2 linked regions of the Caenorhabditis elegans genome follow. The protein of the gene in region 2 interacts with the protein of the main gene of each other region in a pairwise test. Each region holds a gene or a part of one and is shown on either strand. Other genes may lie near its edges. The genes, in order: sem-5 and T20F5.6.

Region 1 (10,555 bases), on a different chromosome or scaffold from region 2:
AGTCTTTGGTTTCTTAGTCACCAACATCTTCAGCTTTGTCGTTGGAGCAGCAGTAGGGTAAGTATTTTTTTCAGGAAATTTCTTCCAGAAAAACTGATTGTCTTCAGATTTGCTGTTTGCCGGAAACTAATCAAACATCATCGTCAATAATTCCAAACAAAAATTTTAACGTTCCACTTACCTCATTTCACTGTACATACATTCCAGCAGTGCTGGAGATTGGGCATTTTTACCCTTTGATTCACAATACTACATTCTCTGCAAAATTCTTCCGGAGTCTTCTTGCATCTTGTCAAAAAGATTCGAATAAACAATAATTTTGCCATGTTTCCCTTCTCTCCAAATTGTCATCTTTCAAACTGTCTCCTGAATATTCCTAATACTCAAAACATTCCTACTACAGTTTTGAATTCAACACATCTAATCGCGATTTGCTCTCACGATTAGGTAATTTTAAATTAATTATGTACATAATATAGCTTTATACACTGAATGTAATTACGACTTTTTCTTTGCTGTTACCTGGGCATTTTGATTCTGAAACTTGCTTTTCCATGTTTTTCTGTCATCACAAATTGTAAATATTTCTAAAATACTGTTACAAAACCACGCATTTTAATAAAATGTAAATATATTTTTGTTTAGTTATGATTAAATTTATTATGCTGGAATTTTTAAAAACTGATAAGTAGACAATTGCACAGATGTTATTAATTGCACAATTCAAGAAATGTCTACAACGAATCATTCTAAATACCAATTTGCACGGAAATAAATTAAGCTGAAATCTATGTTTAGTTAACTAAAAGCTCATAAATCGCTTATAATCCTTTGTTGAAGTACACTCGATCTCCCTTGATATTTTTCAGTTTTTCAAAGGCTTCGGGCTCCCATCTTTTCAATGTTGAAAGCTTCACAGAGTTTTGCTGAGGGAAGAGAGCGCATCCGACAGGAATCATTGCACCATAACTAAAATTCACATTTGTTGTCTAGAAATATGACTGCTCTCTCACATCACAAAAGTTAAAGCCAATTGAGTTGGAATGTTGAGTTTGTTGATATGCTTCCGGAATGAGGCCACTTTGTTCAAGCCTTCCATGATGACAGGAGTGAGGACTAAAATGAGGCATGAAGCATGACAGGAAAAGAGTAACGGCTAAACTCACTCATGCATGGGGCAACGATAATATTTCTGGAGAGAACCACCAGGGAGATGGCTTTAGCTGCGGCTAACCGGGAAACTCCAACGTTGTTTCCATCGGCATCAGTGACAGTCATACCTTCTTTGAGTTCACTTTAAAAAAATGATTTAAAGAACTTTTTGAAGAGTCAACATTTCCACTATTTAAATTCAACTCATAAAATTATACCCATATGCCAACAATAACGTGAAAAACCTCAATTTATAGGTCAACACATTTCCGAATTTTTTTTACGGTTTCTAGTTGAATACAAAAGTAGATGGTCTTCAGTTTACAAAATAAAAATACCATAATGGTTCAGCTGCAACATCATAGACAGCCTTATTTTAGAAAATCCAGTTTTTCATTGACCTCTCTTCATTATTAATAACTTATTGCATATAAGAAAAAAGTCAAAAGCGGAATGATTTTAGGAGTTTTACGTTTTGATTTTAATTTTGAATGGGTTTCAAAATAAATCACTGATAAGAAAGCAAACTTTAAATTTCTGTACTCCTAAATTTCAAAGCTTTCAGATTCAGGGCTACAAAGTTAACCTCGGATTAAAAACATTTAAAAACTTGGTTGAAACTAAAAAATACTGATTATTCTCTAATAAGTACTCACTTCTGACGCATCATAGGGATGTTAATAGCATTAGCCACTGCAACGGCTCCCAGTGGTACTAATCGTTGAGCCAAAGGACTGCTCTGTTTCTTAGCAAAATATGTTTTCAGCCCAATTGCCATTGCCAGTGCTCCAGACACTGCTGTAGAATACGATACAACTAAGTCTTTTGTTGTCAATGTGCTCTTTGCATTTCGATTGGTATAATTGACCAGTGCATTAAATGACTGATTTGCCCATTGCCAGAAAATTACAGCTGGCGTCGATTTGTACCTGGAACAGTAATTGGTTTACTTACTTTTATACTTTTACTTACTTTTACCTTTTAGCTTACTTTTAGCAATACTTTTTCACTTACCAGATCATCATTGCACCACACAGCATTGTACCACCCCAGACGTTGAAGCACATCCTTCCAGCAAAGTTCTGAAGTTCTCCAGTATCCGGATGAAAAGCTGATTGACACAGACGTTGCGAACGATGAAGTTCCTCAAGTGTTGCCGGCACTGGCTTCTTCTCTCTGTAAACGTTTTTTTTATTTTTGAAAAAATTTCTTCAAAGATATTACAAAACTGTATTTAACACAAATTTTGTGAAATTTTTAATGTTGCTTGAATTACTTCAAACTCAGACCCTTAAAGCTCTTATATCCGTTATTTCACTCTAAATACTTAAGAAAAAATACAGCTATTGTAATATGTAATTTAACTTTTTCTGATAATAAATGTTTTGGTTAAATCAAAAATTCAATTTGTTTTACGTGTACAGCCTAATATTAAAAAAATTATACCTGCATTTTTGCATTAACTCCGATGCAGTAATGAGTTCTGTTGTTGAAGAAAATGCAATCAGTGGATCTGTCATTCCAGCGAAATGCCGCAGTCGGCCGTAAAATGTTGATTGATCATATCGTGGCTGATCTGGGTCAAAAGCCATGCCTGGCTGAACAAAAAAACGTTTTTTTAGAAAGATAATCAATGGGAAAAAACCAATATACTAAATTTAAAGAAGGACGAAAACATAAACGAGTGAGACTGGCAGTTGCAAAGGTGCAGACAAAATACGAAAAGGGAGCAGGGATAGTGAGCACACGTGTTTAAACGAGACTTGACTTGGCTTTTGCGTGGCATAGAAACGTTTGGCTCATCTCGAGTGCCCTTGAAACATGATTGCTTTTTGCGTTTCGTTTGAGGTTTTCAAAAGTATTATTTTAAAAAAAGGAATAAAAATTTACTTTATTTTTTTTCTTTTTGAGCATAATTAAAACAATAGGTGAAACATGTTCAATTAAATTGCACGTTGCAGTTTTTTCCGTATTCATCAAAATAAATTCAGCCCGACTCCTTTTGGAAATTTAAATCCTGCCAATTTTGCTCATAAACAACTTGCATACATTTCAAATTGCGAATTTTTAAAAGGTTTTCAATGCAAAAAATGTTTTCCATGGAATATAATTACGTCAACTGAGCATCAAGCTTCCAATTGTCGTTTTGAGACTATAAAACGGTCTGTAAATTCGTGATATCACGAAACAACGAATATATACGGCTTTATATTGTTACGTTTTCTTTCAAAATTCAATTGTTAATCAAAGGTGTGGTAAAGCAAAAGACATTAACGTTGCTTTAAAAAAATTGAGAGCACTATTGCATTTTTGAGACTCACAAATTATAATTTAAAAAAATAACTTAAAATTTAGAATAAATTGTTATCTGGTATATCCAAGAAATAAGTAAAGACGGCGCGCTTTTTGGTTGAAAAAAAATTGATTTTTAAGTTCGAAAAACATACCACTTCACCTTTTCCGTTGACAAAAGATTTCACAACCCATTACGCTCATTTTAATTATTATCATTGACTCGTTATAGAATTTTAACTAATGGTTTAATTTCGTTTTTAGAGCCGTATAAACTTTAAAACTAATCGGAGAAGACTTTTATTAAAATTCGAAATGTCTGAGTATTTTGTTCAAACTAGCTTGCAAAATGTGAAAATGTCATTAAAGGAAACTCCACATGCAAAATTTTCCAGATAAACTACTTTGCATCTACAAATTATGTTCTGTAAAAATTATAGAAAGTGGATTAATATAATAATTATTAACCTTCATTGATTTACAAAGGGATTGGAAAATACTTGACAAATTCGATATAAAAGCAAGACGGCGAGTAAAGTGGGAGGCAGAGAGAAGCTTCATGATGCTCTCGACAAGAGATTGAGCCGGAGGAATAGAATGAAGTGATAAAACTATATCAGAACAGTGTGAGTTGTGATAAAACCGAACAATGTAGCACCGAACGAAAAATCGTATTGGTTTTGGATGAATTGCAAAATGTCAAAAGAAAAAGAGAGACAATGACGAGAAATGGCAAATAGTTATGACAAAAATTGCATGAACACAAAAAAAAACAAATGCGAACAGTCTCTGAGTATTGTGTCAGAGTATCTAATCGCTTAATAGATCCGTAATAGAATTGGTGTGGGGTTGGAAGAAAGCGGGAAAGAAAAGGCTGTTGATAACACAACAAGAATTGTATCATTGCCAACGAAACCGAACAAAAAATCGATAAAACATTGCCAATGGCAGTTCCAAGTTGCAAAGAATAAAAACATTGAAAATTCATGGTCTACATGTAAAACACGAACAACTTATCTCAGTTTTGAGAAAGTTGTGAAATTAATACCCAGCATTGGAAAGTGTGTTTGTGACAAGATTTAGTGATTATTATTGGAGATTAAGTAAGAGAGGGCTTATTAGACTACTATGTCAAGAACAAATGGTATAGAAGAAACATTGAACGCTCCTTTTAAAGAACGAACAGAGACAGGAAAAATCCTAAAATAACGTCCTAATTTCCAAAGTTGAAGCCAGGAGCCACGTTGGAGTTGCTCTTATTGCTATTGTAAGGGCATACGTAGTTGGATGGGAAAATTCCACGCCTGTTGTTCAGCTGTCCTTCCCACCAGTTTGGATCGTCTTTGTTGATCACTGAAAATAAAATATAAGAGATTTTCTAAATGTTTTATTTTTCGGGGTTGCTCAACCCCGACAAATAGATGATCAACCGATTAACTCTATTTTTACGTTGTGAACATTCATAATGCTGCAAATTGTATCTTGAAATCCAATGTTTCTCCGAAAAGTAAATAATAGCCACAGAGTTTTTTCATTTCAATTTGAGTTTATACAAAAACTAATCTAACAACTGATTTTCAATACGTGCATTTATTTGTTCCAGTGAAAGTTAGTTTAAGCAAGACGTCTCATATTATCTTCCTAGTACTTTGTATTACCTTTTTGTTATTTTTATGGTTCTTCTTAAATATTCTTGTTTTAAGATCTATAAAGTGAATAGTTTCAAAATTTTCGAAATACAGTCCAAGATATATCCATTTTTACCATTTTCAATTAAACCTAGAATTTTTTGATTCAAACTTTCAATTGAACATTTTAAAATCATGAAAATTTGTGTTTCAAAAACACTTACAAGTGATAACATCTCCTCTTTTGAAAGCTAGCTCTCCACTCTCCTGTGGGTTGAAATCAAACAGGGCCTGTACAAATTTAGTCTCCACATTCATATCTGACAGCAATATTGTGTGAGTACGCGAAACAGAAGCGGTTCTGAAAATTATTGATTTTTTACTTTTTTTTTGAAAAAGTGTGACTCACCTGTGATAAGCAACTAATTCATTCAAAGAGTTGAATTTGACAGCCCACAAGTAATATTTACCATTTTGATCACGCAAAACTTTGAAATGTTGTACAGAATCTTGGAATCTGGAAAAAAATGTATAACTTTTTGAAAATCTATAACATCTTCTTACCGAACACTGATCGAAAATTCTCCTGGACTACTTTCACACTGTCGGACAAGGAAATGACCATCACGTACGGTTGGCTTTTTCAGCAATACTTCTGCGTCATTTCTTGTTATTTTACCAAGGTACCTAAAAATCCAGAAATTTTAAAAATTGTTTACGCAAGCGTTCTCAGTTCTTCGCGCCCTAGCTGCGGGGTATACAAACAAAAACCGCGAGAAGTAAGATCGACTGATTTTTAAAATATAAGCTTATAGATTAAATCCTCAAAAAAGTCAAACTATTTTTTCCCGAACATACCAATTGCATTCAGTCATACGAATATAATTAGAAGGAATGAATCCTTCATTTCCATCCAATTCAGCTTTATACCAATGTGGATCTTCATCTTTGTTCAAAACCTGCAATTATTGATTTTATCAGGGCCCGGTTATGATATTGTTGAACAAACTTTTAGCGTGTTTCCTCTCTTGAAAGACAACTCATCAGGTGATCCCGCCTGGAAATCATGCTCGGCGACCGCCTCCATCGTCTCGCTACCTGAAATATACTCTTTGCAGCTTCAGAAACAATTAACACCAAAATAAAACATAACAGAGTACATTGAACAAACATTGTTGTCAATAAATTGGCCTGCTTGAGAGACTGTATCTACATATCGACATATCCGCGCGGCGCCAATGAAAAATTATTAGAGCAATAAAAAAATCTAGCGGCAAAGCATAGAGGAACAACTGAGAGGGAAAATGAGAATGAGAAGAGCGTAGTGCAAATTGTAACAGGAGATGAGTAAGAGGACCGGCGAGAAAAAAGAAGGATAAATGAAATTGAGAAACGCAGAACGCAAAATAAAAACCCGCAGGGTCACTAGTTCGGTGATTGAGGTGGTTTTAGTTGAGTGTTTGAACGTGAAAACGGGGAAACAGTGGAAACAGTAGAAACCGGAGAGTAACAAACCGGGGCAACACTAAGTGTCGTCGATTCCGGCGCATTGTATGCAACACTAAATGTGCCGAATGCTACGACACTACTTTTCTCTAATACTCCAAATCTATCACGCGTTCTTCGTGTCTCTTTTTTCTCTCCCATCTTCGCACTGTCTCTATCTGTCTCTCCCACACACACACAAAAACAACGGCGAGTTTGGGCAGGCCGGACCGTACTGTTTTCCGCAATGAGTTCTGTAATTTACATGGTTTCAAATGGAGATTCAGAGAAAAAAGTGCGATACGCTATCAGCAGTCATCATGCACGTCTTTTCTTACACTTTTGAATGAATGGCCGGAGAAACGGAAAAGAACAAATGAAAAGTGATAAGAGAACACGAGAAAACGAAGAAGAAAGAATCAAATTGAAAATGCTCCAAGGCATTGGGTATTGCAATTCATCGATTAGAAGAATGTCAACAAACACACTCCCACCTTGTCCTGTCCAGCCTGAGGTGACTAACCGTCTAGAAATCAAAACATTTGGGTGTGCTGGGTAGTCAGTACCGATTCTCTTTTCAAAAATAAAAATGAAAACTATTTCGGAAATAGGGCTAGAGATGATAAATTAGATAGGAAACATAAATAGATTGCAACTTCAATCAAATTTTTGAACTTCAGTTGCTGGAAAATTATTTAGCAGTTAAAAAATTTAATGAAAATTACGAAATAAGACTATAATTTAACCGATATAAAAAAGATAATCGAACCTGTGACAGTTACTCATAAATACTTGACATTTTAATCGGTGAGTGTACGTAAATATAATAAGGAATAGTGTTTTCTAGCTGGAAACCAACTGTATTTACTACTAGTTAGTTTGACAAATGTGTATTTACCTGACTAATACAAAATCGTAAGAACAGTATCTATAGTAAAACTAATATATGACTGAAATTAACTTTTTTAAGAACCAAAATATTAAATTTTGTCACTGGTTCTTTAAATATATCCATATAACTTTTCTGAAAATTCTCACTGTTTTACAGTGTGAACTTCCAAGAGCAAGGTTATGTGACTGATTTGTCAATAAATTTACTAGGTTCCGTAGTCGGCAACTCGTGGCCACTTCTCAACCTACTTTGGCCACTTTCTAACTGCCATTAGATTTCCACCACTTCCCACTTCTCGACCAACTTTCGTCAACTTTCACACACTTTTTCTAGTTGCTTAGAGCGTAAAAACCCTGTTTAACCAACTTTTGCCACTTTTGCAAATGACAGTTAGAAAATGGCTAAAGTTGGTTGAGAAGTGGCGCCGATTTACCGAATAGATTAACATTCTCAGTAAAACATTCTGAATTTGTATCGTTAACAGAAACTTAACCCAAATTTTAAATTTAGGGTTTCACTTCATTTAGAGGCTTGAAAACATTGCCTCAAAGATGTGCGACATATTTCTCTTGGAACATTAGATAAACTCACGAAATACCCATTTCAATATTGTTGGATTGCGCCTTTGAGGCAGTTTTTGAACACTTTCCTAATTCTTTGGAAATGAGAAAAAGGTTATTATCAAAAAACTAAAAATGCTTCTTTAAAATTTTATGTAATTTTTTGATTAAAAACTTCGACACAACAATAAAACTAGTATCTTGTAATTGTGCAGAATAAATGTTGAAAATTTGCGTTAGTAAAAGAAACGTTTTAGCATCGAACTCCAGAAATTTTAATTAAACAATTTAAATTAAAAGTTTTATTCTATTTACTGAGGGAGGGCGATATCACCAGAAACGCAATTTTAATTGGTACACAATTCATTTAGAAAGAGCAATATTATGATTTTTACGAGCTGTAAACAATTTTCATTTGTACATTATCACAAAAACAAAACGATAATGTTTCATACAGAAAATGGAACTCTGCATCGAAAGAAAGAAAACGAATGGATGCTTAGGGGATTACTCATCATCTCGGTTCAGAAACAGACACATTCATCTGTCACTTCTTCTCTTCCGAAAACTTATATTGACAACGATCTGTGTATGCATACACGCTTAGCTAAAAAGTGTTGAAATGCGCACTCCAGAATGATTTGGTTTGGATGCGAGATGAATCACTCTCAACACTAGTGCGTAATGTATACGGGGGGCCTTGCTTGAACACATAGAAATGGAGGGTTCTTGTGAATAATGGATACTATTGGGATGTCGAGAAGAATGAATCTTGCTGGTTTCATATTGCACCTATTTTACTAATTTCAAAATTTATTCCTACAACAAAAGTACTAGTTTTACTTTTTTGAAGTTGCAGTGCATGCTGATTCAAAATGGAGCATGCAGTGTTAAACTATTCATATGCAAATATAAATTTAAACGAATGTACATCACTTCTAAAATGAAATATCGAGAATGCACATGGAGTGTGAGAAACATAATAATCGCGAGGAGTGGCCACCAGCGACGACTATTCAATTTCAAATAGTTGCCGCGAGATAGGAGCTCTCTTCGGAGGAGCAAAATTTATGAGAAAAAGTAGCGGAGTTTCTTTCGTGGCTGGTCAGCGCGCTATTCTGATGTTTTTCTCGTTTCAATTGAACTTCATTCTGTGACAAGCAGAGTGCCACCTGTTTTTGTCAAAGTTCATATTGGAGATAGTGAGGAAATGAAGCGATTCGCTATATTGATTGAATTAGCTTTCAAGTGTCTTGGGGACATGTGGAGTGAACAAGCAATGTAGCATTTAAATCGTTCCAGAATTTTAGACAAACACTTTCATCCAAAAAAGAAAATAACATGGTTTTTAATAATTTGATATGGAACTTTAAAGTGAAGAAGCTTTCAACAATTGATTTCAAAAATTTCAAATAGAATGACAAATTGTTTCAAATTTCATTTTTAAAAGGAGGAGCAGACCCAGTGGGGAAACTGAAAAAAACACTCATGGTGCGAAGATGACCAAATATTATATTAAAACATTTAATTTTTTTTTTTTTGAAATTTTCCAACTTCGTTTCAAAAGGTGATGATTACTCAGTTTTTCCTACTTTTTTGGAAGTCGTCGAGCGAAAAATTTTTTCTCAAAATTCGTGGTCTACTTCTGTTTCAAATATTAATATTCAAACATTGCAGGGTTTCAAACATGCGACAGTGCTGTAGTTTTCTCGAAAAATGACAACAACTCACTAATTGCTATTTGTGACTGTCAGTATAAACTTGGGTACGATTTAAAACATTTTGTCGTATTTTAAGAAAATCATTAACAATGGATATATAAAAATGTTAGAAGTAATGTCGAAACTAACAAAAAACGGCAAATGGTATTTCTGGTCCCGTTGTATACTAATTATCACATTTCAATACGGCGTTTGACTGTCTGGCATACCCTAGACCACCTGTTGACAAAAATCGGCTTATAAGATCAGGATTGTGGCGGAAAAATTTGATGGCCAAATGTCTGTTGTGCCCGCGATATGTGGTAGGTACACGATGGTCAAGAAAGGCAAAAAGAGGGGGGAGAGAATTGATTTGTTCGGAAGATATGCACAAGTAATGACCCGGTGCCACGCACGCTGACACCCCCTTCATTCCGAGTGTTCATGACAAAAACAGAGGTCAGATGGATTGAGGGAGAAGGAAATGGACGGAAAAAATGGTCTTCAAGAGAGTGAACGTGTGTGTGTGTCTGTGTGTGTGCTGACGTTGAGCAAGTCGCTCAATATTGGTTATTCTGTTGCGTGTGGAGCGGCCGGAACAAGTCTTATGTCACATTCTTTTGACAACAGATTGGTTTTTGCTATGGAAAATACGCTTGAAGACAAAAATTGCTCTCAATGGTTTTCCGTGATTTTTGAATTTTTTTTTCAAAATGAAGTGTTAAAAATTGAACTTCTACTTTTACAGTTTTTAGGTTTACCTTACACTTCGTTGAGCTGAAAGCGATGAAATGCTTCAGTGAAACTTTTCTTCAATTTTTATATAGCATCAATGTCAAATTTTCT
Region 2 (13,170 bases):
GCTTTCAAAATTGAAATATGAAGATGGAAAAAAAAGGAATTTATCTTTTCATTCATTCAAATTTCAATGAAATAAAGGGGAAATTGCAATATTATTATTTTGTGAAGCACTATTTTTTTCAAGTACATTGGCAGCATACACAAGAGTACTGTAGAAATTTTTTTCCAATTCGGTTTCAAGTGTTATTTGAAGCATGCAGTGACGGGGATTATCTTATGCCTGCCTATCGCCTCCTAGTGCGGTTTCAGTCTAGATTAATGAATTTCAAGTAATTTGGAGTGAATTCGAAATGAAAAATATTGCTCTAGAAGTAGACACGGAAGCAGGCAGAGTTCTGTGGATTTTTGATGCACCTGCTCCGCTAGAGCTTTAAAGGTAAACATGCACGTCTTAAGGCCTATATGCCTCTTTGCTTGCCTATGATATGTTTTCAGTTTCTTAGCGGAAATTCTGTGCTTGGTATTGGCAGTGTAGATTGTTGCGTTTTATTTAAAATTTAATTTAGAAATGAAAAGTTCAGTTTAGCGATGGGCAAGTTGATAGGCAGAATTCAGGCGTAGGTTACCTTAAAGGCAGGCATTCCTGTATCAACGCGGAAAACTTCTTGATTTATTTTTGATAAGCCCGCTCCTCTCTTTCCTCTTCAGACGGTACGCAGGCAAGTCTGCAGGTGACCGCTTATTTTCTTTAGCTATAGGCACGCGTGTAGGCTTGAGGTAGGCATAGGTTGCATTGAAGGCAGGTAGGCAAACATGTGAAATACCAATAAAACTACTAAAATGTCTTTATTCAAAGCCAAAAATACAATAAACTAGAGATCTTGAGAACCGACGATTTTCTTCAGACACACGAACCGCATCCAGTTGGAAACATTGAAAACACCTCAAATCTTGAAATAAACGATAATAAACATTTAACTAATGGTAACTTCTCACCTTTTTCTCACTATTTGGTGGTGGAGTAGTGATAACGAGTAGTGGAGCAGCAGATGGAAGAGCCGGAGAGATCGGACGGATTTCCGTGGTACGGGCGGCTTCTGGGGTATGCATTGAGGGCATTGGGGACATTGGGGACTTGACCTGAAATATTTAATACTAATTTAATATTTGTGTTACTGAAATTTTCTTTTCATGTTCTACTCGTAAGTAAGGATAGCAGAACTCGGCAGAAGGTTTATTTAAAAAAAAAAACTACAATAACCAATGGAGAGGTTCAAAACTGAAGCCAAAAGGTAAGTGGTTTCCACCATAAGGCTAAAGGGTTCCTCCTTTCAAGGCAATCTATGCCTGCCTTACAGTGCTCAATTTTTTTTCTCTATTTCTAGGTTGAAGTTTTAGTTTGAAATACAAAATACTCTGCAAACATCAAGGAACGGATTTCTGGGTAGGCATGTAGGCGCAGGCTTCTCTCAAGATACCTGGGTGACATCCTTAGCAGTGATCACATTGATTGCTTCCGGAGTTCCTGTAGTGCTGACATATGAAGTTCCGGAGAGAGTAGTAGCAGTTGGAGTAGCTGGAGTGGGCTCTTTTGGTGCAGTACTTTGGCTCTTTGAACGATTGAATGTGGCTTCTTCTGGTACCGTAAACGAGGTCATTGATGAATCATTCGATTGAGACTTGTCTGCAGTCTTCTCCTTTTCCGGGACTAATACGGCTGGAGCAACAGGAGCCGGAGAAGCTTGAGTGAGTTGCGGAGGAGCCACTGGAGCAGCTGGAGCGAGTTGTTGTTGTGAGGAAATCGATTCAACGGCGGTAGTCACATCGGCCGAAGATTCAACAAGAGTCACTGGAGGCTTCTTTGTTGACTTTTCAGTTTGGGATGCATCTGACTTGGTTGGCTGAGTGTCTTCAGACTCTTTAGATGGAACACGCAACTTCTTGGAAGCAGATTTATCAGGCGAAATGGAAACTTTCATTTTCATAGACTTCGATGGAAGAACATCTTTCTCATATCCAGATGAAACTTTTGACTTGTCACTTTTGCCCGGCTTACTGACAGGTTTCGCATTATTCGGCTGGATTACGATGGACTGGGGAACCGAGTTCTGAAAAAAGGTGTTGTTGGGTAAATAGCTCGCTATACTGTAGGAATTACTGCTCACCTGTTTCTTTTTCTTTCTTCTTTCCAGAATCAAAAGGCACATATTGACGGCGGCAAAAACTGCCAAAAAACTGAGAGTGATGATGAAGAGGACCTCTTTCGCGCTGATTGATGATAAGGTTTCATTGATTTTGTCGCTGAAAAATTGAGTATTTTAGTTATTTTCAGTGCAATTAGGTTTTATTATATTATTTAGTGAAACCACTTTAGTGTATGTTTTCGTCACTAAATATTTGAATTTGCGCGTCAAGTACGATGCATACAATTATGTAGCTGCAAAGGCAGGTCTCGCCACGAATCGTTAATTATTGTGCGTTTTTCTGAATTACGAGCTGTTATGTTTCTTTGGAATTCCGGCAGAAAAACGTTCAGTTTTTTCGACGATTTTGTTATTATTGAGCCGCAGAAAAATTACCCTTTGAAATCGAAATGGAAACGCGCTCCATCGCCAATCGAAAACGCCCCGCCCCGAACCATGGGTCTCGTTAGGTAAGTGGCTGCAAAGTCGTAAATTCAACATTTTCGATGAGTTTTGCCAATTTTAAAGCATTTTTCGGTTTTGTCTTTTATGCCGAAATTAACTTTTAAAAATGCTATTTATTTCGCCAACTTCGGCATAAAATTCTTTTAAAAAAGAAGTTCATTGAAGCTGATTGAATTAACGGTTATACCGCCAAATACCCAACGATGGTTTGCGGGCGGAGCGTTTTCAATTGGCAGTAGGGCGCGTTATTTCAAAAGGGGCATTTTTCTGCGTCCCCATAATAAATTTCGCAGGTTTTAAATCATACGAGAAAAAAGATAAATGAAAAAGCACGGCTTAAGTACAATTCAAATTTTTCGCGGCGAGACCCTTACGAGCATGTCCCCGCGCCTTTAAGTCCGCGTTACAGAGAATTGCGCAATAACGTTACTGTGAGCTTTATTGCTCGAATAAAATCTGAAAACTCAATTCTCTCAGTACTCACAGTTCTTTCCTCAAATCAGCACTATTTATCGTAGTATTGCTGGCAGTCGTCGTCGAAACGAGTGTCTTGTTCATTTTGCCGATGATAATTGAACGTTTTGACAAAATAAAGAAACTTCTTATTGAGAACTGATTATTTCCACGATCTGTGGAACTAGTGGGAGATTCTTTTTTAAAGGGTTCACGCGTTTTTTAAACACTCATTGAAATTATTTCTAAATAAAATTGAATTGATGATAAGCGGATACAGAAGAGAACAAATTAAACTATTTAGAATTCACAAATAGTATTGGAAATATAAAAGCTGTAGTCGGAATGAACATGAGATACGATCACGAGAATAGAAAAAGGGTACAATCCCACTGGTGATAATGATAATGATGACAGGAATTGGGAGGGGGGAGTTACAGAAGAAAAAACATAAATAAAATATTTAAGATTGACTTGAAAAAGAATAATTAATAAGACCAGTTTACTGACGATTTCTCTTTGCAGCAGGCTCGTCTTGGGTAGGCGACACGGCGCGGCGTTGGGCGTCTGTGCCTGAAAACATGAAATATTTAAAAGTTTAAAATGAATCTATTACTAACCTCCTTCCACCACAGGATTCTGCTCCACATCTTCTACAGGTGGTTGAGCACCGCCGCGAGCTCTTCTGTCTTGCGCCTTCTGAATCCATTCAAGCTCTAAAGCTCTCAAGTCACGAAGATATGGTTGAACTTGCAATGGCTGCAAGTTTTTGAAGTTTGGAGCATCTGGATTGGCGTCTGGATTGAGTAGTGCAGGCATCTCAATGTTTTTCGGTGCACGCTGTCCATTTGCATTCGCTTCGGCTTCTGCCTCGTTGCGAACCATTCCCATGATTCGATTGACAAGTTCTGCTATCTCAGCTCTATCTGCAACTTCTTGCTCGATTCCTTGAATTGGTGGGAGCGGATTGAGAGGTTCTTGGACAACTACATCATGCCATGGAGCATCCTGAGCTGGATCGTCTCTTGCTCGAAGATTTCCTTCAAGTTCTTGAAGCCTGGCACCCAACTGATTCAATCTTTGTTGTGCATTATCCAAATCACGTCTCATATCAATTTGATCCAATTCAAAAGGATTTCTTGCGTACGGACCTTCGAGATTCCAAATATAATCTCGTAAACCGTCAATAGCCTGTTGAATCGCATCGTTCCTGTGCAATCCCGGATTCTGAGCAATGGCACGGAAAATGTGGTGACGAACCATTCGAAGATCTCGAACATTGTTTCCATTACGATTGGCACGGCGAGGAGCAGCCAACTGCGCTCGAGCAGCAATTCGATGTCTTCGATACATACGATCAGCAATATTCAGTGGAGCCCCAGCAGCACCAGCTAAACGAAGATCCGCAGCAGGCCCAAGAAAATCACCAGCACCATCTACAGCATCATCACCACCACCAGCAGCGGGAGCATCGCCAGCTGGAGCAGCAGCAGCAATCTGAACATCAATAGCAATATCATCGTCCGGAAGATCTCCAAAGATTCGTCGAAAATGAGCCGCTAGGCCCTGATCGTTTGGTGCTAAGAATTCGTCGATTTCATTCGCCAAATGTCGAACTCCTCCAGGAGCATTTGCATCCCGTCCAACAATTGGCACCACAAAACCACCAACTGCTCCAAGTCTTCGGAATCTCTCACGATTGAGAGCTGGGCCAGGTCTTGGTCGTGCCGGAGGAACTGGTACAGGGGCGGGTGCTTGCTTCACTTCTTGTTTGGAACCATCCGTCTCTTGTGGAAAAGCACTTGGACGGAGAACATCACGACCGAACGAGCGATGGTAGCGAGCCTGAAAGATAATTATTACTATTGTTGAAATTAAATGACCGATCCCTGAATTTGCGAAAAACAGCGTCGCACAGAAAGAGAGGTGGGGCTTTTTTCGCAACACTGCGGCCGGTTTTTTCTCTTTTTTTTTCAATAAAATTTCGATTAAACTTGTTTTATTTTCTTTCTTCGAATGCAAAAATATTCCAAATTAATTCTCATAAGATTGTGAGGATATTCCATGTTTTCACAACCAATTTGGTATGAAATATCTTCACAATAATATTTTCATAACAAAAATTATTTTAAACAAAAATCAGTGTAAGGGAGAAAAACCGTGCCGCAGGGTTGCAAAATTACACCCCGCCTTTCTTTCTATGCGACGCTGATTTTTGCAACAGTATAATAAGCAGGGCTTTCGCTTTATGGTTTTTTGGCAAAAAAATAAATTCCAAAAATGTTATGTTTCAGTTGGTATGATGAAAAATTCGACAATTTTTTGTTGGTTTTTGGTCTAAATTTTTATTGCAATATCCCTGATAATAAGATGATTTGATAAGGATACCTTTGAGGAATTTTCAAATTTATCCAAATCGCTGCTCAACGTCTTGAACAACTCTCCAGATGATTTCATAGAACTCATAAATCTATTCAAGCTTTCGTAGAAATCCGGGTGATCTGCTTCCTTTCTAATATTCACCAATGCATTTGCCATTCTCTGAAAAAATAAATTATTTCGTTTGGAGAATTAATATCAAAACTAACTCGTCGATGATCAATTGCTTCAGCTTTCGTCTTGTCAAACGCTAAAAGCGCCTCATCAACAGCTTTTAGCTTCTTTTTGAGCAATGATTCAGCTAGAAGAATCTTCTTATTCGCTTCATATTGAGCAGCCACATTGCTAAATGAGACGAAGATGTGGGTAGAGTGATTCGTTTCGATACACGAACGACAAATGAGGGTTTCCTTCGGACGTTTCTGGAAATAATGGAATAGAGAAAATTTAGGGGTTTTTCGATTTTCCGATATTTCGAAAAATATCTTAGAATTTGGGTGATTTTTCTTGTTTTTTAGAAAAACAGTTATATGCCTTTTTATGTTTTTTCAGCAACATAAGTAAACACAATTTGATCAAAAAAGTTGAATTTTAAGGGTCATTTCCTGAAGGTTTTATTATTATTTTTTTCAAATTTTTCGATTTTCTCTGAAAAAAAAAGGAAAAACACTTTTGGTCCCAGATTTTTTTTAAATTGAAAATTAGTGTCAAAATGTAGAAAATCACTTGATTTATCTGAAAATAATATTTATTTCTGCTGAAGCATTGGAGGAAGTGCTCAAGAATGACCTGAACGTATATATTTTTTGCGTTTTCTAGATATACGCCATTTGTGGCATTTTTCCGCGAAAAAATTTGAATTAATGTTCAATTTTCGATTTTTTTTTTGGCTATTTATTTCCGGATATCAAGTTTTTTACCAAAAAATATCTCAAAAATTACAAATTATTTTTTTAATGGAAAAAAAAACCAAAGGCCATTTTCTGAGGAATTCAAAAATAATTCAGCCATTCAGAATTTTTTTTTGCAAAATTTTTTCTAAAAACCATAAAAATTCAGAAAATTTCTATGTTTTTCTATAATTTAAACGTTTTTAACATCATAAGCCTCCGTTAAATATAAACTTACAATTTTGTCTACATTCTTCAATTCTTCCTCGGAAATCTCTTTCTGGCACGTTTCGTCTGAGCATGTTGTAGCTCTGAAATTTTTCATATAAATTAAAAACCGATTTTTTTCAAAGAATCTTACTCAATAGCGCTCACTGTCGTGTGACACTCGGTACATTTCACAGCTTCCGGCTCTTTTGTTGATTTCTCCTGCTGTCTTTGCTCTAACAATGCTGAAAAAAAATCGATTTTTTGTTTTTTTTAAGGGATTTGGCTTCAAAAAATTTCAAAATAGTCTCAAATTCCAACTTTTTTCGTTTTTCAGAACTACTTTCGATTTTTGAAGCCAAATTTTAAAATAAAATCTCACATTGAATGCAGAAATTAGTTGGAATCTTATCGGCCGGGGTGGTTAAGCTGTAGCGAGTATTTTGTCGGCACGATGGACAGATGACTGTGTTTCCGCCGAGAAAAGTTCTGGTGTTGAGAAGTTTTTTGATACATTGGAGACAAATCGTGTGACCGCATGGAAACACTTTTGGAATACGCTTGCCGGTGTCTGAAAATTTACATTTTAGCGGGATTAAAGGGATTTTAATTTAATAAAATTTAAAAATCGACTTAAAATTAGAAAAACCATAAAACAAAATTTACGATTTTTTCAATTTTGACCAAATTTGCTCCAAATTGAGGCAAAATTGAATTTTTCATTCTTCTGCGATTTCTACCGTTTTTTTTCTGGTTTTTCTGAAGTCAAGGCTAATTTTAAATGTTTTTCAACAAATAACTACTAACTAAACGGGTCATAACAGATTCCGCACGACAATCCTTTCATTTCGGTGCCCTTCGACGTTAAAATTGTATCGTCCGCCTCATCCTCCTTTTCTTTTTCATTTTCTGCCTTCGGAACGTCAGGCGTGGCAACTGCTTCCGGCTGAGGTTGATTATCTTCCCGGTCTAAAACATTTTCAGCTCCAGCTGCTGGCTCATCGTTATTTGCATCATCTACTGGATCATCGACGTTGATAGCTGCATCTATTCCTCCAAACGGATGAGCAAAATCGTCCATCTGGGCCATATCTCGGAACTCTTCCACTGCAATAAAAAATATTATTTATTGATTAAAATAAAGGACGAGTGGGAGGCAATTCTACAAAATTACCTATTGCACTATTATTATTTTAACATTTTTCATTAAAAATAGCGTTAAAATAGAAAATCACTTGATGTAATTGAAAATAACACCTGAACATTCGAAAACGTGTGGAAAAATGAAGCTCAAGTTTTATAATTCGATAATCGACAATTGACACCTTTCAGGCCATTTTTAAGCACTTTCTCAAATGCTTCAGCTGAAATAAAGGTTATTTTCAGATAAATTGAGAGATTTTCCATATTTTGACACTTATTTTAAGTGAAAAATGTTGCAACAACGTGGCGCAACAGGTATTGATCGCTGGAAACTGAATTTCAAAATTTTTCGTATTCAGTAACTTACTGTCGTCTTGCAATTGTCTTTGCAGGTCACGGAGTCGAACATTCAAACCATCAATGTCGAACGGATCCATTTGAGAAATTAAAACGGTGTATTTTTGAAGGAAATAACTCTGAAAAACTTGAAAGAAATGTAATTTCAAAAGAAAATCAGTAGGACATTAAAGGGAGCGGACACGCTTGTGCGAAATGGTTTCGCAGCGGAGTAAAAGTTTGTGGTCGTTTTTCGTCATGTACCTTTAAAATCACAGTACTAATGCCGACTCATTTTTATAAACATCGAAAAAAGGCAAATTTACCTAGAATTCTGATACAGTAGTGAATACAAATATAACGGAGTCACGACAGAATACGTGAGAAACCAGAAAATAAATTTAAAAAAAGGTAAATGAATGCATTTATAAAATTGGGTTCTCAAAGACTATCCGATTCGAATATTCGAGCAATAAATAAAAGAGCACGAAAACGAAACGAAACGAGAAAAAAACATTTGGGGAATGGAACAGTAATAAATAAAAATAGAAAAATGATACGGAAGAGAACACGTGGAATCAAAAAAACATTCAAATTAATCAGGATAAAAGAAAGAGCTGAGGGGGGACGGGGAGGAGGTGGGAGAGACCAAGAATGTGTGGAGGAGAAAAGAAACTTAATATAAAATGTGAAATATTTTCATGCAGATCATTTTGTATGAGGTTAAAACTTCTAATTTTGAGAACTAATAGCGGATGAGAATTATGAAAAGCCCGAATATTTATTTTCTAGTCATCTCTTCGAGAAGGTTATTCTATTTTCTCGTACGGCGACGCTTTGGAAGTGGCTCCGGCTCGATAACTTGGACTTCATCTTCGGCTGAAGTGCCTGGACAACTGTCGGTAAACTCTTTGAGACGTTTTGCAGATGGTTTTGTCATACATCCTTCGAACACTGAAATATTGATTTTTTCAAATTGAAAATATAGATTTAAAGGGGGATTTTTCGATTTTTTTTTTGGGAAAATAAAATTAGATGTTTTTAAAGAAAAATAATATTTTCAGAAGCCCTTCGAAGGATTACATTTTTTAATTTTTTTTTCGAATAAAATGTTTCGGCATTTTTTTAAATATTAACCCGAAAATGGCTAATTTTATAGCAAAAGTTTTCAACTAAAAATCTCAAACATTTTAATAGCGGATAAAAATTTCGAAAAAGGGTTAATTTCAGCTAAAATGAAAGCTGATTGGTCAATTTTTCCGTTCTTTTTGCATATTTTTTTCGCTTTTTGTGGCGAATTTTTGGAAAATAGCTTTGAAAAATTTAGAAAAAAATTCGACTTTTTTAAAAATTTGATTTAAAAATTTTAATTGTTTTTTAACTTCTAAACAATTTTTTTTTTGATTTTTCAAAAAAAAAGGAAGAAAAAAAATGTGATTTTCTTCTAAAAAGCTATTTTTCGAACAATCTAAAATCTGGAATTTTTTAATCGAAAATGTTTGTTTTTCGATATTCTACTATTTTTCGACGACACCGCCCTTGAGGCTCAGTCTTAAAAAACTATACCAACCTCCAAATCCATTCTTCGGAACTTCTTCTTTCTGCACCAGCTCCATCTTAAGTGATCCAGATTCCTCGCTTACTTTCAGCTCAAATGTCTTATGAAACTCCAGCTCTTCGAGTTTAACCGGTGGCTTTGTGCACTTGATAGCAGATTGACCAGCTGCCATGCTGTTAACCTTCGCAAACTTTTCAGTCCCGCCACGTGTGCGACCCTCATCATACACAACTTGTGGCATCAGAACTCCCGTCTCAATACTAATTCCATTTTCAGTAATAAACTTCATAACTTCTGCTGGTGATCCCGTCAGTCCAGCAACAACAATATGAGTATTTCCTTCGGAATCCTTACGAAGATACAATTCAGGTCCTTCAAGATCTTTTTTCGATGCAACATGAATCTCCATTCGGTTACTTCGAGCCATTTTGAGAGTGAGCACTTGATCTGGTTTTTTCGGTTTTCCACCCTTCGCCTTTTTCTCTCGTTCGAATTTCTCCTTCTCGGCAAGATATCCCATCAGTTGGAAGTTCGTGTTACATGATTCTGCCACCGGTCTTTTAGTGAATTGACGACACGTCGGACATCGAACAACGAGAAGGGGCCTGCAAAAAAATTACATTAATATTTAAAGCTGCATTAGAGCCAATTTTATTTTGAAATACCGCAAAAAAATTCGTAAATTTTGAAAAAAACTACCGATGATTTGGGCGAATTTTCAATCAACTTAAATTTCCGCGCGATTGTCTGTAAACTCCGCACATAGAACCGTGCCGCACGTTTTTCTTCAATTTCGACGCAAAATTGTTATTTTTTGTGCTGTTTCTATAATTTTTAATTAATAAAAAGGTCATAAATGACTTTTAAAAGATTTTCCGTTTTTGAAAATAATTTCAGTTAAAAGCTTTTTTTAAAACATGTATGACCTGTTTCTTCTTTAAAAAAAAATAGACAAACAACACAATAAATAACAATTTGCGTCGAAATTGAAAAAGCTAAAGTGCGGCACGGTTTTATGGGCGGAGTTTAGAGCAAAAAGCGCGGTATTTCAAATGAGGAGATTAGAAAAAGTTGAAAATCGCCAAAATCATCGATTTTTCTTCATTTTTTGCGCATTTTAAAGGAAAAGCCCGTATTTCAAAAACTAACGCATTGAAATCTCTGAGATTATCAGTACATTCCTCGCATACTGTATGACCACAATGGAGAACCTTCGGCTTGCGGGTTTTTGTGTCGAACTCCCGAATACAAATTAGGCATGTGACGAGATCGGCTGTGGTGAAGGCAAGTTTGTCGGCCATTTAGCTGAAAATGTTGAAAATGATTATTATTACTAATTATTAAATTTTTTTTAACGTTTCCTGGAGTACGCAAATAAAAAATAAAATAAATTGAAAAAAAAACAAATGTTATACCCATTTTTCTGGTGTAGATCAGGGTTGGGACCAAAAAAAATTTAATTTCGGTTTGTTGAACTTTCTTAGAAAATTGTTTTTAAAACACGACTAGTGTTTGAAGTACCGAAAGTATTTTTTTGGTCCCAAAACACCAAAAAATAAATTTTTCGTCAAAATATCAAGAAAAAAAGACAAAAAAGTCCCAGCCATGGTAATATAACGAGAGAGATAACCGAGAGAAAATAAGGAAGAATACAGTATGCCAAGACACGCCCATTGCATTGAGGTTTCTTGTAACACCTCGAACGAAGCAGGAAAGTGATCACTAGAGGGCTTGTAAGGTCGTCGAAATTAGAATACCGAGAGAGCGTGAGAGAAAAAGAGTGATGGATTCGAGACGAGAGAGTGAGAAAGAAAAGTGAAAAAAAATTAATGCAAATATTTCGAAATTTTCGGACAATACTTGAATACAGAATCAGGGGTGAGCGGCAAATCGGTAATTTGCCGGAATTTAAATTTCTGGCAAATCGGCAAATTTTAGGCAAATTGTGGTTTTTCACTGTTCTTTTTTTTTTTTAGAAATATCAGAATTTTAATTTTAAGCAGCAAAATTGTACGCATCTTATGAATTTTCCTACATCTATTTGGAAAAGTTAGCAAATTTTATGAAAATATCTAGAAAAAACGGGGAAAAAAATTTCAAAAAGGCACAGTTTCAAGTTTTCCGTTTTATAAAAAATCGCTCTAAAAACTTCCGGTGAATTGATGTTCGGCAAACGGCAAATCGGTAATTTGCCGAAAATCAAAACTTCCGGCAGATCGGCAAACCGGCAATTTGCCTAAAATCCCAAATTTTTTCAACTTTTCCGTGTCAAAGCTGTCGAAAATTAAGATGTACCCTTGGCAGATATACGTGATTCATAAAACTCGAATTGGTAACCATGGGGATTACATTTTTTTTTGTCGTACATATCAAGGAGGACGCACTCTCAACTGAGATACGAAAAGAGGAATGTGTTTGAAGAAATATAATGCTCACATGTTTTGAGGAATTGTGGAAATAGTCTCTGAAAAAGTGCAACTTAATGGGGAATTTTTCGGGGAAATCAATTTAGATTAAAGTAACATTTTTACTGTTGGGTACTCCTTTAGGCCATTTGATCGTCTTTCAAAGCAAAGTGACCACGGCGAGCTCTGTGAGGTTGTCAATAAGCAGATATACATGCCGAATCGAATGTGGCCTCAGAAGATACAATAAAGAGTTATCTAATGATTCCGGGCAAAGAAAACCTTATAGATTTTGGCACTTACACTTCTCGCTCGAAAAAATCAAGAATATTGAAACAAAAATTGAAAAGTACATTATTATAACGAATAAATTTCAAAAATTTTCGAAATTTACGAAGAATTTGTCAGAAAAAAATCTCAATGACTTTAACCACTGAAGAGCACTCAAAAAACATGCTCAATGTTCAAAAAGCCGCAGAGTGAGTAAATTTGAAGCAATATACGTCTGCCGAAAGGGTTACGGTAAGTGTTTGTGACCAAGAAGATAACTCACATAAAAATGACTGTGAGAGTAAGAATGATGATATAGAGCAGCAATATAATGACCCACCGTCCACCAGACAATCGAATGTTTATAATAAATTATTATCGATCTGTGTTAGCACTTTTTAGGTGAATAGGTTCAAATTGAGGAGCAAAGAGAAATAAAAAGAAGTACATAAACTGAATAATTAATAGCCGTTTTCCCATAAGAATCTGTAGAGTCCGTGGGCTTTCGCTTCAACAGACAGATTTCTCGAAAAAAAATCGGAAATGTTTTACGGCGGGACAAAATAAAAATAAAAAACCAAAGCTAATTCGTCCTTGTCATGGAAGCTGGAACACATTTTTGCAATTTTTCGCGGTTTATCTCGAGTTTTTATTGATCTAGTCACATTTTAATTCGATATGCACCTAATTTTGGTTTAATATGCCAAAATTAATGAATAAACGCGAGATAAATAACTGAAAATGCGATAAAAAGTGAAAATCTCATAAAAACTGTATTTCAGCAGCTGCGATCAGGAAAAGTGGGGCGAAATTCCAGATATTAGCAATTTTTGGGTCCTTTTCCAAAATATGATTTGCAGAATCACCAAATTTGATATCTAGTTAAAAAAAATTATATGGAAAAAAGAGAATATTAATATTAATTTTACGTGAGATTAAGAT

The links.
Region 1: the proteins of T20F5.6 (region 2) and sem-5 interact in a two-hybrid assay, tested with the Caenorhabditis elegans proteins (3 studies listed by BioGRID).

Annotation. Positions count from the first base shown.
Region 1 is NC_003284.9:7,955,554-7,966,108, forward strand, and holds sem-5 (Sex muscle abnormal protein 5), read right to left. Parts: upstream 6,171-10,555; 5' UTR 6,160-6,170; coding exon 6,082-6,159; intron 6,032-6,081; coding exon 5,931-6,031; intron 5,760-5,930; coding exon 5,637-5,759; intron 5,590-5,636; coding exon 5,482-5,589; intron 5,434-5,481; coding exon 5,297-5,433; intron 4,798-5,296; coding exon 4,658-4,797; 3' UTR 3,900-4,657; downstream 1-3,899. Other genes in the region: dct-1 (NIP3 homolog), read left to right, coding at 1-57, 108-150; sfxn-2 (Sidoreflexin), read right to left, coding at 822-969, 1,014-1,116, 1,167-1,294, 1,809-2,081, 2,167-2,328, 2,599-2,744.
Region 2 is NC_003279.8:3,917,028-3,930,197, forward strand, and holds T20F5.6 (RING-type domain-containing protein), read right to left. Parts: upstream 8,136-13,170; 5' UTR 8,097-8,135; coding exon 8,027-8,096; intron 7,624-8,026; coding exon 7,324-7,623; intron 7,088-7,323; coding exon 6,899-7,087; intron 6,762-6,898; coding exon 6,671-6,761; intron 6,621-6,670; coding exon 6,548-6,620; intron 5,842-6,547; coding exon 5,629-5,841; intron 5,582-5,628; coding exon 5,429-5,581; intron 4,886-5,428; coding exon 3,661-4,885; intron 3,614-3,660; coding exon 3,543-3,613; 3' UTR 3,179-3,542; downstream 1-3,178. Other genes in the region: T20F5.5 (Flocculation protein FLO11-like), read right to left, coding at 884-889, 936-1,079, 1,418-2,047, 2,105-2,240, 3,072-3,145; T20F5.7 (RING-type domain-containing protein), read right to left, coding at 8,810-8,949, 9,566-10,158, 10,703-10,854.